Saccharomyces cerevisiae S288C: one gene and its partners. The protein of the gene in region 1 binds, or shares a complex with, the protein of each later gene. Each region holds a gene or a part of one and is shown on either strand. Other genes may lie near its edges. A codon is read from its position in the direction of its gene.

Region 1 (3,023 bases):
TCTTCTTGCTTTCTTTATTTGCTATGTATCTTTATGTTTATATGTATATAAATCTGCCTACTTGTCTTCCTTTGGCATGCCAACCCTATGTTTTTTCAATTGCTCAATTGCAAAGAAAATTAACATTGTGAATGGACCCAGTCTAGTGAAACTTGGCAACCACCCCCGGAACATGAAAGATGGGCCCTCTTTGCGGACAGCGTCGGCAAGGATCTTCAAAGCCGGTTGATGGTCTCCGCTGCCGTTCATGATACGTGTCTTCATGACGTCTGCTGGAGAGCACACAGTGGTGGCCACCAGGCCAGCCAACAGGGACGCTGTCAAGTGTGTATAGTTCTTGGATGCGTCGAAATCTAATTTTGTGACCAAGTAGTTCTTAAACACGTCATACGTAACGACCTGACTTGCCGTCATCAGTATGCCCCTAACCATGTTAGGCTTCCAACCGGTAAACAAGGTTTTCAGTCCACCCTCGTAGCGATATATCTTGTACACACCATCGATAGCGTTTTTGTAGTTTCTCCTCTTCGCTGCCTCCAAAGCAGAGTCGTTTTGCATTCTGATATTTACAACATCTGCAAAATTCCCTGCAAGCCCCCCAATGGCACCACTGAACATGGAGCAAGGTAAAAGATACGCCATGTTAGTCAATTGCTCGCGTGGGATCACATTCTCTTTCAACAAGTCGTATGCACCGAATCTCACCGTCGTGTATGTACATTGCCTCAACACAGCAGCGCTCAGGCCGGAATATAACCCCACCACACCTTCATTCGCCAAGATACTCTCCAACATCCTGAAGAGTGTGGGCTTGGGCATAGGAGCCGCCTGCAGTCTGACTTTGGCCAAGTCAAGAGGATGTGTCACCATGGTAGCAAAGATACCCGCTGCACCTCCGTACCACCATGGATACTTGATATTCTTACCGGCAGACTCTTTTGCGTTGGTTGACATGCCGTCCAGCTGTTGCGTTATCTTTTCGACACTTTCAGAGCAAGAGAAACGAACCTCTACACATAAATATGCATACGATTATGTATATCCATATATATATATACACTACAAGCCGACCGCCCGACCGTTTCCTGCCCCCAACATTGCAGCGTAATCGCTTGCCAAAGACCACACCTTGCAGCCCTTTTATACAAACATGTCTACGACGTACAGTGGAGAGGGCCCTTTCCTTGGCACTCAACTGAGATTGCGACGCGATACCTTCTGCGACCGTTCCTACTATCGCGGCCATAACTCCAACAACGACAGCGGATGCGCTGTTCTGCGGATGCGTGACCGTATCCGCAAAGAACGAAGATTAAATTTAGGGTCCCCGGCATTGAGGATGGTTCTGCCAAGAACTCACGATATAAACCAGTTGGTTGAGCATCGCATGGATGAGTATGGCGTATTTTGATTGCTCATATATAGTGGGGGGGAATACTCATGCTGTGAAAAGCACAACTCTTTTCACTCAACGAGGTTAATGCCTTCTTTGTCTCCACGCCGTTTTTTTCTGGCGCCCTTTTGAGAAAGATAGCCTGTCCCGTAATCGTGGCTTTGGCAGAGACAGAGGGTGAGCGAAAGAGCGGGCGAAACCGAGAATGGATTCCGAGTAAAGGATTGCGATGGCATGAAACAAAACCGAGAGGCACTCCTTGTAAGGACACACATACACAGACGTAAACATATATATACATACGTATACTCAAATATATCTTCGTATCATTAGGTCAGCTTCTCTCTTCCGCACGTAGAATTAGAGAATTAACGCAAGACTATACCATTATAAAAACGCATAAGAAACAGTTTCATCATGATTGACCGCACTAAAAACGAATCTCCAGCTTTTGAAGAGTCTCCGCTTACCCCCAATGTGTCTAACCTGAAACCATTCCCTTCTCAAAGCAACAAAATATCCACTCCAGTGACCGACCATAGGAGAAGACGGTCATCCAGCGTAATATCACATGTGGAACAGGAAACCTTCGAAGACGAAAATGACCAGCAGATGCTTCCCAACATGAACGCTACGTGGGTCGACCAGCGAGGCGCGTGGTTGATTCATATCGTCGTAATAGTACTCTTGAGGCTCTTCTACTCCTTGTTCGGGTCGACGCCCAAATGGACGTGGACTTTAACAAACATGACCTACATCATCGGATTCTATATCATGTTCCACCTTGTCAAAGGTACGCCCTTCGACTTTAACGGTGGTGCGTACGACAACCTGACCATGTGGGAGCAGATTAACGATGAGACTTTGTACACACCCACTAGAAAATTTCTGCTGATTGTACCCATTGTGTTGTTCCTGATTAGCAACCAGTACTACCGCAACGACATGACACTATTCCTCTCCAACCTCGCCGTGACGGTGCTTATTGGTGTCGTTCCTAAGCTGGGAATTACGCATAGACTAAGAATATCCATCCCTGGTATTACGGGCCGTGCTCAAATTAGTTAGTTGGCTCTGCCTATACGCATATATGTATATATATATATATATATATGTATGTATGTGTATATGTATATGTACGTATACCTTACATCATCATCTTTCTTTATATTCTCTCTAATGCGCATTTACATCGGAGTACACGTCAAATCTTCTTTGTTTGGTTAAGGGTACCGCTTGTCTAAATGACTCAATGACTTCGGGATCTAATTCAGCATAAATAATCTCTTCTCCCTCGCCAGCTTCAGCTACAATCTTGCCTCTAGGGTCCACCACTATAGAGTGGCCATATGCATGGTAAGAACTCTGTAGATTCCTTGCGGGAGAACATAACATCACGTACACTTGGTTGTCAACTGCCCTGCTTCTTGCCAGTAAATGCCAATGCAAGGGCCCTGTGACAGTGTTGAATGCACTAGGGTAGATCATGGCAAACGCACCCTTGCGTGCACTTAGCATTGCGAGTTCCGGAAACCTCATGTCATAGCATATACCTACGCCAAACTTACCATATTTCGTGTCAATGGTAGTAGACTTCTCTCCAGGGCTCAAGGTTTCACTTTCATGGAAC
Region 2 (4,422 bases), on another chromosome or scaffold:
ATTGGTGCTAAAGTTGTAGGTGTCAATAATAGGGACCTGCATTCATTCAACGTAGACCTAAATACCACCAGTAACTTGGTAGAATCTATTCCAAAGGATGTTCTTCTAATTGCTCTATCGGGAATTACCACCAGGGACGATGCTGAAAAATACAAAAAAGAAGGTGTCCATGGATTTTTAGTGGGTGAAGCCCTAATGAAATCAACCGATGTGAAGAAGTTCATTCATGAATTATGCGAATAATTGAAACTTACACGGTACAATAGGGAAAAAAACTTAACGTTGTAAGGGCGAACGCCTTCATGTATAGTAGCCTATAGAAGATATATATATATATATATATATATATATATGACCATGAAAGATAAAGTAAAAAAGAAAATAAATAGCTTGTTCTTCCCTCTGGGGCCGGCGTTCATTTTTTTATTTTTTTATTTTTTAACTTACTTTTTTTCTCGTTTTTATCATATTTTCGGTTTTACGTTTTGGATTTACAATAATCATCATTTTATCACATATAGAACTCATTAATCTCTTTTTAAAGGATCCGGCTTGGAAAATTTAGGACTCTGTGCATATTTCAAACCTTTGAATTGTTGTTCTTTATCATGCGTTTGATGAACGACCAAGAACCCAACGTCTACTAACTTAGGCCAGTTGACAAACTGAATACCGTTCTTAAACATGAATTTGGTTGAAAGCGCCAAGACAATCGACGCACCTGCAAAATACAGCAAATTCTTACTGCTGGTAAATCTATCTTTAGGAAAAAATATCGTAGCACCTAAAACGGTCAAGGCTGCGCAAATGATCATTGGGATCAGCTGAATATACACTGGTCTTCTGTCGGGGAATGGCGACTTGATAGAAGCGGTATGTGGTCTAAATCCACCAAGGAATAAATCGTATGAATCCTGTCTTGGACCATCAGTCCAATTGTTCTGGTAATAACGTGATGCTGAATTCAAAAAATCGTTGAATGCACCTAGACGTGTACGCTTACCGGTTCTTGTGAAATCGGTCTTCAAAGCTCCAGTGCCCGAATATGCCACACTAACTGCATCTGCATTATCAGCCCATAAGTTTTGGTAAGAAGTTAACAATGGAGCGTTGTCTTCCCAAGTGCTTCCAGTAGCAACGACATCGGCACTTTCAAACTCCTTTTGCAAAACCCACTGGGCTAAAACAGATTGAACGACATTTGTTCTGTCCAAACAATCCATACAGTTTGTTCTTACAACGGAATGTTGCTCATTAACAATTTCAACGGTGTTACCATTAGAGTCTATGACCTTGTGGAAGAAATCTTCGTTAGATAAACCTAATTTCTCCAGGTGATCAATTAACAATTTCACTCTATGCCATTGCATCTTACGACATTCATGGTGGAAGTCAAAATACACGTAGTGAATCTTCGGATCGTTTAGCGCGTGCACGACTGATTCATAGCCCTCTTTCACGGGTAGTTCGTGGCCCTTTTGGTTGACTAGGTTAACCAAGTAGTTGTCGCCATATAACTCCTTTTGCTGGTCAAAATGCTTTTTTGTCGCATCTAATGAGTTTTCTCCAAGAACAAGATTTGGCTTGTACTTCAAGTTGTTGATTTCAGCCCAGTATATTGGCACAGATCCTCTTGTCTGTAAGAAGGAGAAAACGTGTATTTTTTCACTCTCTGGATTCTCAGCGAGTAAAATTTGCTCAGTTTCATTGAAATTGCCAACGTTACCGTCTTTGTCAACACCACGACGGAAGTATCTTGTGCCCGCCCTAAATATACTACGTCTGGTAATCAAACCAAGAACGATAGGGGTGGCATTCAAAACGGCGTCCACTGTCTTGGCATACCCATAGATAACAGGTTGTATAAAGGAGTCAATTCTAGGATCTTGATGAGCAAAGTTTCTCAAATCTTCAGTTAAGTAATGGTTCCAAAAGAATCGTTCATCAGCGGTTTTCCAGGAGGCTGCAGGACCAACCTTTTCATTTCTTTGTAAGGAATTTGTTAAATCATATGTGTATGAAAAATAAAAGGTGGAATTTTTCAAATGCAACTCCAGTAGCTTGATATATTCGGCTTCTTCAGAATCGATTCTCGAGTTAAACTTGGTAGATACGATAGAATGTTGCAACACTCTATAGAAAACGTGGCCATTGAATCTACCGGTCTCTTCCACAGTATTTGCGATAATGGCATACCTGTTCAACTTTAGCTTAATGAACCCCATCAAGGACGCAATCTTTACTACTTCACCTTGCACAGGAAATTCCTCTGCTCCAAGGACCCGAACACCTTGATCTTGATTGGCCAAGTGAATAACAGCATCGTTAGTTCCTTTGCCCTCAGCAAGCTTGAAGAAGATACCGTCCGCATTTTGAACGTACACTATTGGACCTGTCATATCTAGACGAGAAAATATACGTGTATATAAATATTATCGTTACTGTTATAGGGATATGGTTTCTAATCCTTTCTCCTATTTCCTTATCTAAACCTGTGGTATTTTTCCCTTGCCTTTTCAACTTCAATAAGCTGGAATTAAATTTGTAGTGTGGGTAAGCAGTAGTGCAGCAATGCGTGCGTGTGCAAGCTCTTGAATATTGAAGGTCTACAGGTTACTAAAACAATAGGAGCGAGGCTTGGACGTCGAGAAAGTTGCTGACCTTGGCATTTCCTTTGCGAGTTTTTCAAAATTTTTCACACTCGTTCAGGACCACGAAAAATAAATCATATGAGATTTTAGTACGCTGATAATAAGGGAAGGCCACTGTCTTGGCTTATTTTATATATATATATTCATGTGTGATAGTAAGGTGTAGAGCAGCAGATTTGGAGTATGGGATATCAATTGAGTGCAACACTTAAAGGGCACGATCAGGACGTCAGGGATGTGGTAGCTGTGGATGATTCAAAGGTTGCTAGTGTTTCGAGGGATGGAACAGTTCGCTTGTGGTCTAAAGATGACCAATGGCTCGGTACGGTAGTTTATACAGGACAAGGATTTTTAAATAGTGTGTGTTATGATTCCGAGAAGGAGTTGTTGCTTTTTGGAGGTAAGGATACTATGATCAACGGTGTGCCCTTGTTTGCCACCTCAGGAGAGGATCCCTTGTATACCTTGATTGGCCACCAAGGGAACGTTTGTAGTTTATCCTTCCAAGATGGTGTTGTGATAAGCGGTAGTTGGGACAAAACCGCAAAGGTTTGGAAAGAAGGATCGTTGGTTTACAATTTGCAAGCACACAATGCCTCTGTATGGGATGCCAAAGTCGTATCCTTCTCAGAAAATAAATTCTTGACAGCTTCCGCCGATAAGACGATTAAACTGTGGCAAAACGATAAAGTGATCAAAACTTTCAGTGGGATTCACAATGATGTAGTAAGACATTTAGCTGTGGTGGATGATGGCCATTTTATCAGTTGTTCAAACGATGGCCTCATCAAGTTGGTTGATATGCATACAGGTGACGTACTAAGAACATATGAAGGCCATGAAAGCTTTGTTTATTGCATTAAACTGCTGCCCAATGGAGATATTGTAAGCTGCGGCGAAGACCGAACAGTCCGTATATGGTCAAAGGAAAATGGTTCGTTAAAGCAGGTAATTACACTTCCTGCCATCTCTATTTGGTCCGTTGATTGTATGTCTAATGGTGATATTATTGTGGGAAGTAGTGATAATCTTGTGAGAATATTTTCGCAAGAGAAGTCAAGATGGGCTTCCGAGGATGAAATAAATGAACTATCTACGCAAGTGGAAAAATCCACTATAAGTTCCAAGACAATAGAATTTGATGAGTCTAAACTATCACCTTATGAAATTTTACAATCGCCGGGGCGCAAAGAGGGTCAAATTGTGGTAGTCAAATCACCTCAAGGTACTATAGAAGCTCATCAATTTTCAAATTCTTCATGGAAAAAGGTTGGTGATGTTGTCGGTGCAGGTGCTACTGGAAACGACAAAAAAATAGAATTCGAGGGTAAAACGTATGACTACGTATTTGATGTGGATATTGAAGATGGAAAACCTCCCTTGAAATTGCCGATTAATGTCAGCGACAACCCATATACAGCAGCCGACAATTTTTTGGCTCGTTATGAACTGCCAATGAGTTATAGGGATCAAGTAGTACAGTTCATACTGAAGAACACTAATGGCATATCGCTAGACCAGCCCAACGATAATGCATCATCTTCTGCAGTATCACCTTCAAAAACGAGCGTAATGAAGGTTCTTCCTGTCAAGCAGTATCTTATCATGGAAAATTATAACCCAGATACTATTTTCAATGGAATAGTAAAAATAAATTCAAATGAGAAGACCTTTGATGATGAAATTCTGGCGCAAATTGGTGGCGCACTACATGACATAGATGAAAGCTGGGAGTTGCTACTTTCATTTGCTAACACTATAAGATCTAACT
Region 3 (4,042 bases), on another chromosome or scaffold:
TTCATGTTGTCGTGGAAGGTATCAGCAGCTTGTTCAAAAGGTTGGGCTTCCTGCACAGCGTCTAGAATAGGATCAGCAACGGAAGCAGTACGCATCTTCAATCTTGCCTTGTCATCTTCAGAAATCTTGACATCTGAGGCACGGTTCGCTCCGTCATGATCACTCGTGTTACTGATACTGGATTTCTTTCTAAAATGCATCATATTGCCTTGGTGTGCTGTTTTAACCTTGTTTGATGTTTGCTGTGTCTCTTGTGTTAGTTCTCTGCCTAGTGAAACCGAAAATGCTCAAGAAAGCGTACCACGAAAGTACTCCTTTCTTTTCTATTAATAAATAAACAAATAAATAATACAGGTTGCTTTGCCTCGATGGTAAAAGGAAAGAAAATTTCGGATCCGAAAATTTTTAGCGCATTCTCTGGGCGCCGTGCACCACGTCAATTTGACAGAGATGATGTTACGATTATTTGTATTATTGTATAAATATTTATATATATATGTGCGTGTGCATATACTGGCTTTCTATTTTTATTTATTAGATTCTTGGCAACAGGCAAGGATGGACTGCTTGACACTTTCGCAAGCATTTTTGAGTTCCTCTGGGGACATGGCGGCGTTACAGCAGATTTTCAAGCTAGGGACAATTGGTAGCGTCTCCTGTTTTAAAACAATAGTGTTTCTTGTGATGAGAACGTTGTAGTTAATAAGAGCATGATCTACTATGGACTGCAGAAATTTTTCCTCCTCTTCGTATGGCTCAATGAATTTGTTTGTCTGGGACTTCTTTTGCAAAGCTGACATGGTTTCGAATAGCTGTTCGCAGGTGTATCCGAACTTGCGAGACCTATATGCGGGAGTCAGTTGCAGATGTAGGACAGCAGACACTGGAGAGGACGTGACGATTACGTATGAACGCAAGGAGTCGTCAGATGCAAAGGAATCATGCAAAGATTTGGATAGTTTTTGCAGCGTCTGGACGGCGTCGTTGTTGGAGTCCATCAATTTCAAGACTTTGGAGACGGATGTGACGGTGTAAGCCGGCAAACAGGCAGAAAAACAATATGCATTGGAACCAATACGCTGGTGCAAACACATAACACTGTCACCCAGGACAAAACCACCGGTGGACCCCAACGCGGTGGCCATGGACCCAACGGTAATGTCAATGGCAGTTGCGCGATCCATGTTGAAGTGCTCTGACAACCCACGGCCCGTAGCGCCAAGAACACCAATGGAGAAGGTTTCGTCAACAAATAGTCTGAACTTGTACTTGTTCTTCAGCTTAGTCAACTCAGGCAACGGAGCTAAATCGCCCGAGTTGTGGAAAATACCCTCAGTGACGATAAATTTTCTTGGAATGGCGGGCAGTTTCTCAAGTTTCTCCTGTTCGGTCAACTCGTTTAATAAACATTCTAGCGAATTCATATCGTTGTGGTTGAAGTAGTAGACTGTGGATCTGCTTAGTTGCAGAGCATTTTGCACTGGTAATGACACCTGGTCGTCTGCCACGATAACATCACCACGCTTTGTGAAAGCAGGCAGAACAGAGGGTGCGGCACAAAAGTCTTGCCCGTACAGAACGGAACCTTGGGTGCCAAAGAACTGTGCTAAATCATATTCCAACGTGTAATGAACGTCCTGGTTACCGTAGAACCCGGCGGGACCACAGGCGCCCACACCGTAATTCTTGATAGTGGTCTTGACCACTTCTTTCACGGGCTCCGTAGCGGACAATTGCAAAAAGTTGTTCGAGGCCAAATTGAAAACATTGGTATACTTCTCCTGCAGGTTGTTTCTGGTGATAGTAATATGGTTCTGAATGGGCATTTCCATGGTGACGGGTGTTTTGGCCACCCTCCACGATTGCTCATCGGTGGCAGAAGGGTCGACTAGAGGCTCGGGCTCCCAGTCCTCAATTAGCGCGTCAATCTCCTGGGGCGATAGGTTGGGCTTCTGTGCTTGAAGACTCTTTTTCTGTTGTGGCTTGGACAAGTAATAGATGATCCCGTATAAAATAAGCCCTATCTCAACCGTGGTCCTGTATGGATCGTCATGATGCGATTTCTTGATGTACGAAACGATGAATTGGCCTCCCGGGATTTGAGTCAACACCAGATTGAAGTAGTACCATAGGTACGATGAGGTGGTAACAATAAATGCCGGAATCGGTATTGATTTGGGTAAAACCTCTGGGATGTGTGCCATTGCTTTTTTTTTTTGGGTGGGAAGGAAGAAAAAAGGATAAATAACCCTACACGAGCAAAATGTGTATATTGGAGGCCAGGCAGAAGGTTAGAGCGCTCTTATACTGTGCTACTCGATGATGTTGAAAAGAATTTTTTTTATTTTTCCTTTTCTTTTTCTTAAGTACTATATTTTCTCAATCTTACTTTCGTTCACTACAGTTAACCGCAGCAATATGCCCCTATAAAAAAGAATGAGTGAAAAATTTGTTAGCAGAGAAGCAAGAAGGAAAGAAGGAAAAAAAAAAGAAACCGTGTAAGAAATCATGGCGCCTCAAAAAAAAAAAAATACGCGAAATCGATTTCCGTATATGATGATACATATGTTAGGTCTCTTATGGTAGTTTTTAGGGTCTGTCCTGTTTTTTGAAGGCATTGGTTAGGGTCTAGTAAGTAACTCGTATAAAGAGATGTACTTTTATACGGTATGTGTGGCGGTTATTTCCAGTGTTTTTTTTCCCTTATTTTGTGGGTTCATGGAAATAGTACATATTGACCTTCTGCACAAGAAGCCATATTGACAGAGCAGTATGTGAGGACCTTTCTTCTACACAATGTAACAGTCAATGGTTGTAGTCAATACCACGACCTTTACGTGCAGTTTTAGAGCGAAACTTCGGTTTTTTGAGACTTACCTCGTGTTTGTGTCTCCCTGGGAATGGAGCCGCGCCACCCTTGTCTATTATGTATAGTCTTATTTAATCATAGCGATGTTGGTCATCCAGTACACTTCGGTAGCAACCTTCGTTTGTGATTGTCTTGGTAATTGCTTCCAACAACTTTATCCATCATTGAGACAGGGGCCATATCACCCGCGGGGTCTCAAAGAAGGGGCCCACTAATAAAAGCACGAGATAAGAATGCCAGCAAAAAAGCTCCGAAATAATTCTTTTCGTCTTCCCTCCTAGTCTTAACAAGACAAGAGAGAGAGAGAGAAAGAATACTCACTAGAGATTGTTTCTTTTCTACTCAACTTAAAGTATACATACGCTATGAAAGCATTCACCAGTTTACTATGTGGACTAGGCCTGTCCACTACACTCGCTAAGGCCATCTCATTGCAAAGACCGTTGGGTCTAGATAAGGACGTTTTGCTGCAAGCTGCGGAAAAATTTGGTTTGGACCTCGACCTGGATCATCTCTTGAAGGAGTTGGACTCCAATGTATTGGACGCTTGGGCCCAAATAGAGCATTTGTACCCAAACCAGGTTATGAGCCTTGAAACTTCCACTAAGCCAAAATTCCCTGAAGCAATCAAAACGAAGAAAGACTGGGACTTTGTGGTCAAGAATGACGCAATTGAAAACTATCAGCTTCGTGTCAACAAGATTAAGGACCCTAAAATCCTGGGCATTGACCCAAATGTCACACAGTACACGGGTTACTTGGATGTGGAAGACGAGGACAAGCATTTCTTCTTTTGGACTTTTGAAAGTAGAAACGATCCTGCAAAGGATCCGGTCATCCTTTGGTTGAACGGGGGTCCAGGTTGTTCTTCACTAACCGGGCTGTTCTTTGAATTAGGACCCTCATCCATTGGACCTGATTTGAAACCCATCGGGAACCCTTACTCTTGGAACAGCAATGCCACCGTGATCTTCCTTGACCAGCCTGTCAACGTTGGGTTCTCGTATTCCGGGTCCTCAGGTGTTTCCAACACTGTCGCCGCTGGTAAGGATGTCTATAACTTCTTGGAGTTGTTCTTCGATCAGTTCCCTGAATACGTCAACAAGGGCCAAGATTTCCACATCGCTGGGGAATCCTACGCCGGCCATTACATCCCTGTTTTTGCCTCTGAAA

What was found. Proteins that work in one complex are often made in the same cells at the same time.
Region 2: ORM2 (region 1) and SAC1 share a complex: the UniProt entries of both Saccharomyces cerevisiae proteins name them as parts of the SPOTS complex.
Region 3: the proteins of ORM2 (region 1) and LCB1 are in contact, whole or in part, in a cryo-EM structure (PDB 8QOG), measured with the Saccharomyces cerevisiae proteins. Residues at the interface, in NP_013454.1 of Saccharomyces cerevisiae: Pro37 (codon at 1,919), Val38 (codon at 1,922), Thr39 (codon at 1,925), His41 (codon at 1,931), Arg42 (codon at 1,934), Arg43 (codon at 1,937), Arg45 (codon at 1,943), Gln55 (codon at 1,973), Glu56 (codon at 1,976), Glu59 (codon at 1,985), Asp60 (codon at 1,988), Glu61 (codon at 1,991), Asn62 (codon at 1,994), Gln64 (codon at 2,000), Gly133 (codon at 2,207), Gly134 (codon at 2,210), Ala135 (codon at 2,213), Asp137 (codon at 2,219), Glu148 (codon at 2,252), Thr149 (codon at 2,255), Leu150 (codon at 2,258), Tyr151 (codon at 2,261), Pro153 (codon at 2,267), Arg155 (codon at 2,273), Lys156 (codon at 2,276), Leu159 (codon at 2,285), Ile163 (codon at 2,297), Phe166 (codon at 2,306), Leu167 (codon at 2,309), Asn170 (codon at 2,318); in NP_014025.1 of Saccharomyces cerevisiae: Arg56 (codon at 2,039), Val59 (codon at 2,030), Glu60 (codon at 2,027), Leu63 (codon at 2,018), Ile64 (codon at 2,015), Tyr66 (codon at 2,009), Gly67 (codon at 2,006), Tyr70 (codon at 1,997), Tyr71 (codon at 1,994), Ser73 (codon at 1,988), Lys74 (codon at 1,985), Gln76 (codon at 1,979), Gln77 (codon at 1,976), Lys79 (codon at 1,970), Ser80 (codon at 1,967), Leu81 (codon at 1,964), Gln82 (codon at 1,961), Lys227 (codon at 1,526), Arg228 (codon at 1,523), Gly229 (codon at 1,520), Arg250 (codon at 1,457), Ser251 (codon at 1,454), Thr252 (codon at 1,451), Val253 (codon at 1,448), Tyr254 (codon at 1,445), Tyr255 (codon at 1,442), Leu280 (codon at 1,367), Pro281 (codon at 1,364).

Annotation. Positions count from the first base shown.
Region 1 is NC_001144.5:826,920-829,942, forward strand, and holds ORM2 (sphingolipid homeostasis protein ORM2), read left to right. Parts: upstream 1-1,810; coding exon 1,811-2,461; downstream 2,462-3,023. Other genes in the region: DIC1 (Dic1p), read right to left, coding at 58-954; NIT3 (putative hydrolase), read right to left, coding at 2,570-3,023. UniProt on the Saccharomyces cerevisiae protein: Component of the SPOTS complex that acts as a negative regulator of sphingolipid synthesis. Acts by inhibiting serine palmitoyltransferases (LCB1 and LCB2) activity.
Region 2 is NC_001143.9:32,520-36,941, reverse strand, and holds SAC1 (phosphatidylinositol-3-phosphatase SAC1), read right to left. Parts: upstream 2,400-4,422; coding exon 528-2,399; downstream 1-527. Other genes in the region: TRP3 (bifunctional anthranilate synthase/indole-3-glycerol-phosphate synthase), read left to right, coding at 1-243; DOA1 (Doa1p), read left to right, coding at 2,835-4,422. UniProt on the Saccharomyces cerevisiae protein: Phosphoinositide phosphatase which catalyzes the hydrolysis of phosphatidylinositol 3-phosphate (PtdIns(3)P) and phosphatidylinositol 4-phosphate (PtdIns(4)P). Has low activity towards phosphatidylinositol-3,5-bisphosphate (PtdIns(3,5)P2).
Region 3 is NC_001145.3:858,688-862,729, forward strand, and holds LCB1 (serine C-palmitoyltransferase LCB1), read right to left. Parts: upstream 2,205-4,042; coding exon 528-2,204; downstream 1-527. Other genes in the region: GSR1 (Gsr1p), read right to left, coding at 1-203; carboxypeptidase C PRC1, read left to right, coding at 3,235-4,042. UniProt on the Saccharomyces cerevisiae protein: Component of serine palmitoyltransferase (SPT), which catalyzes the committed step in the synthesis of sphingolipids, the condensation of serine with palmitoyl CoA to form the long chain base 3-ketosphinganine.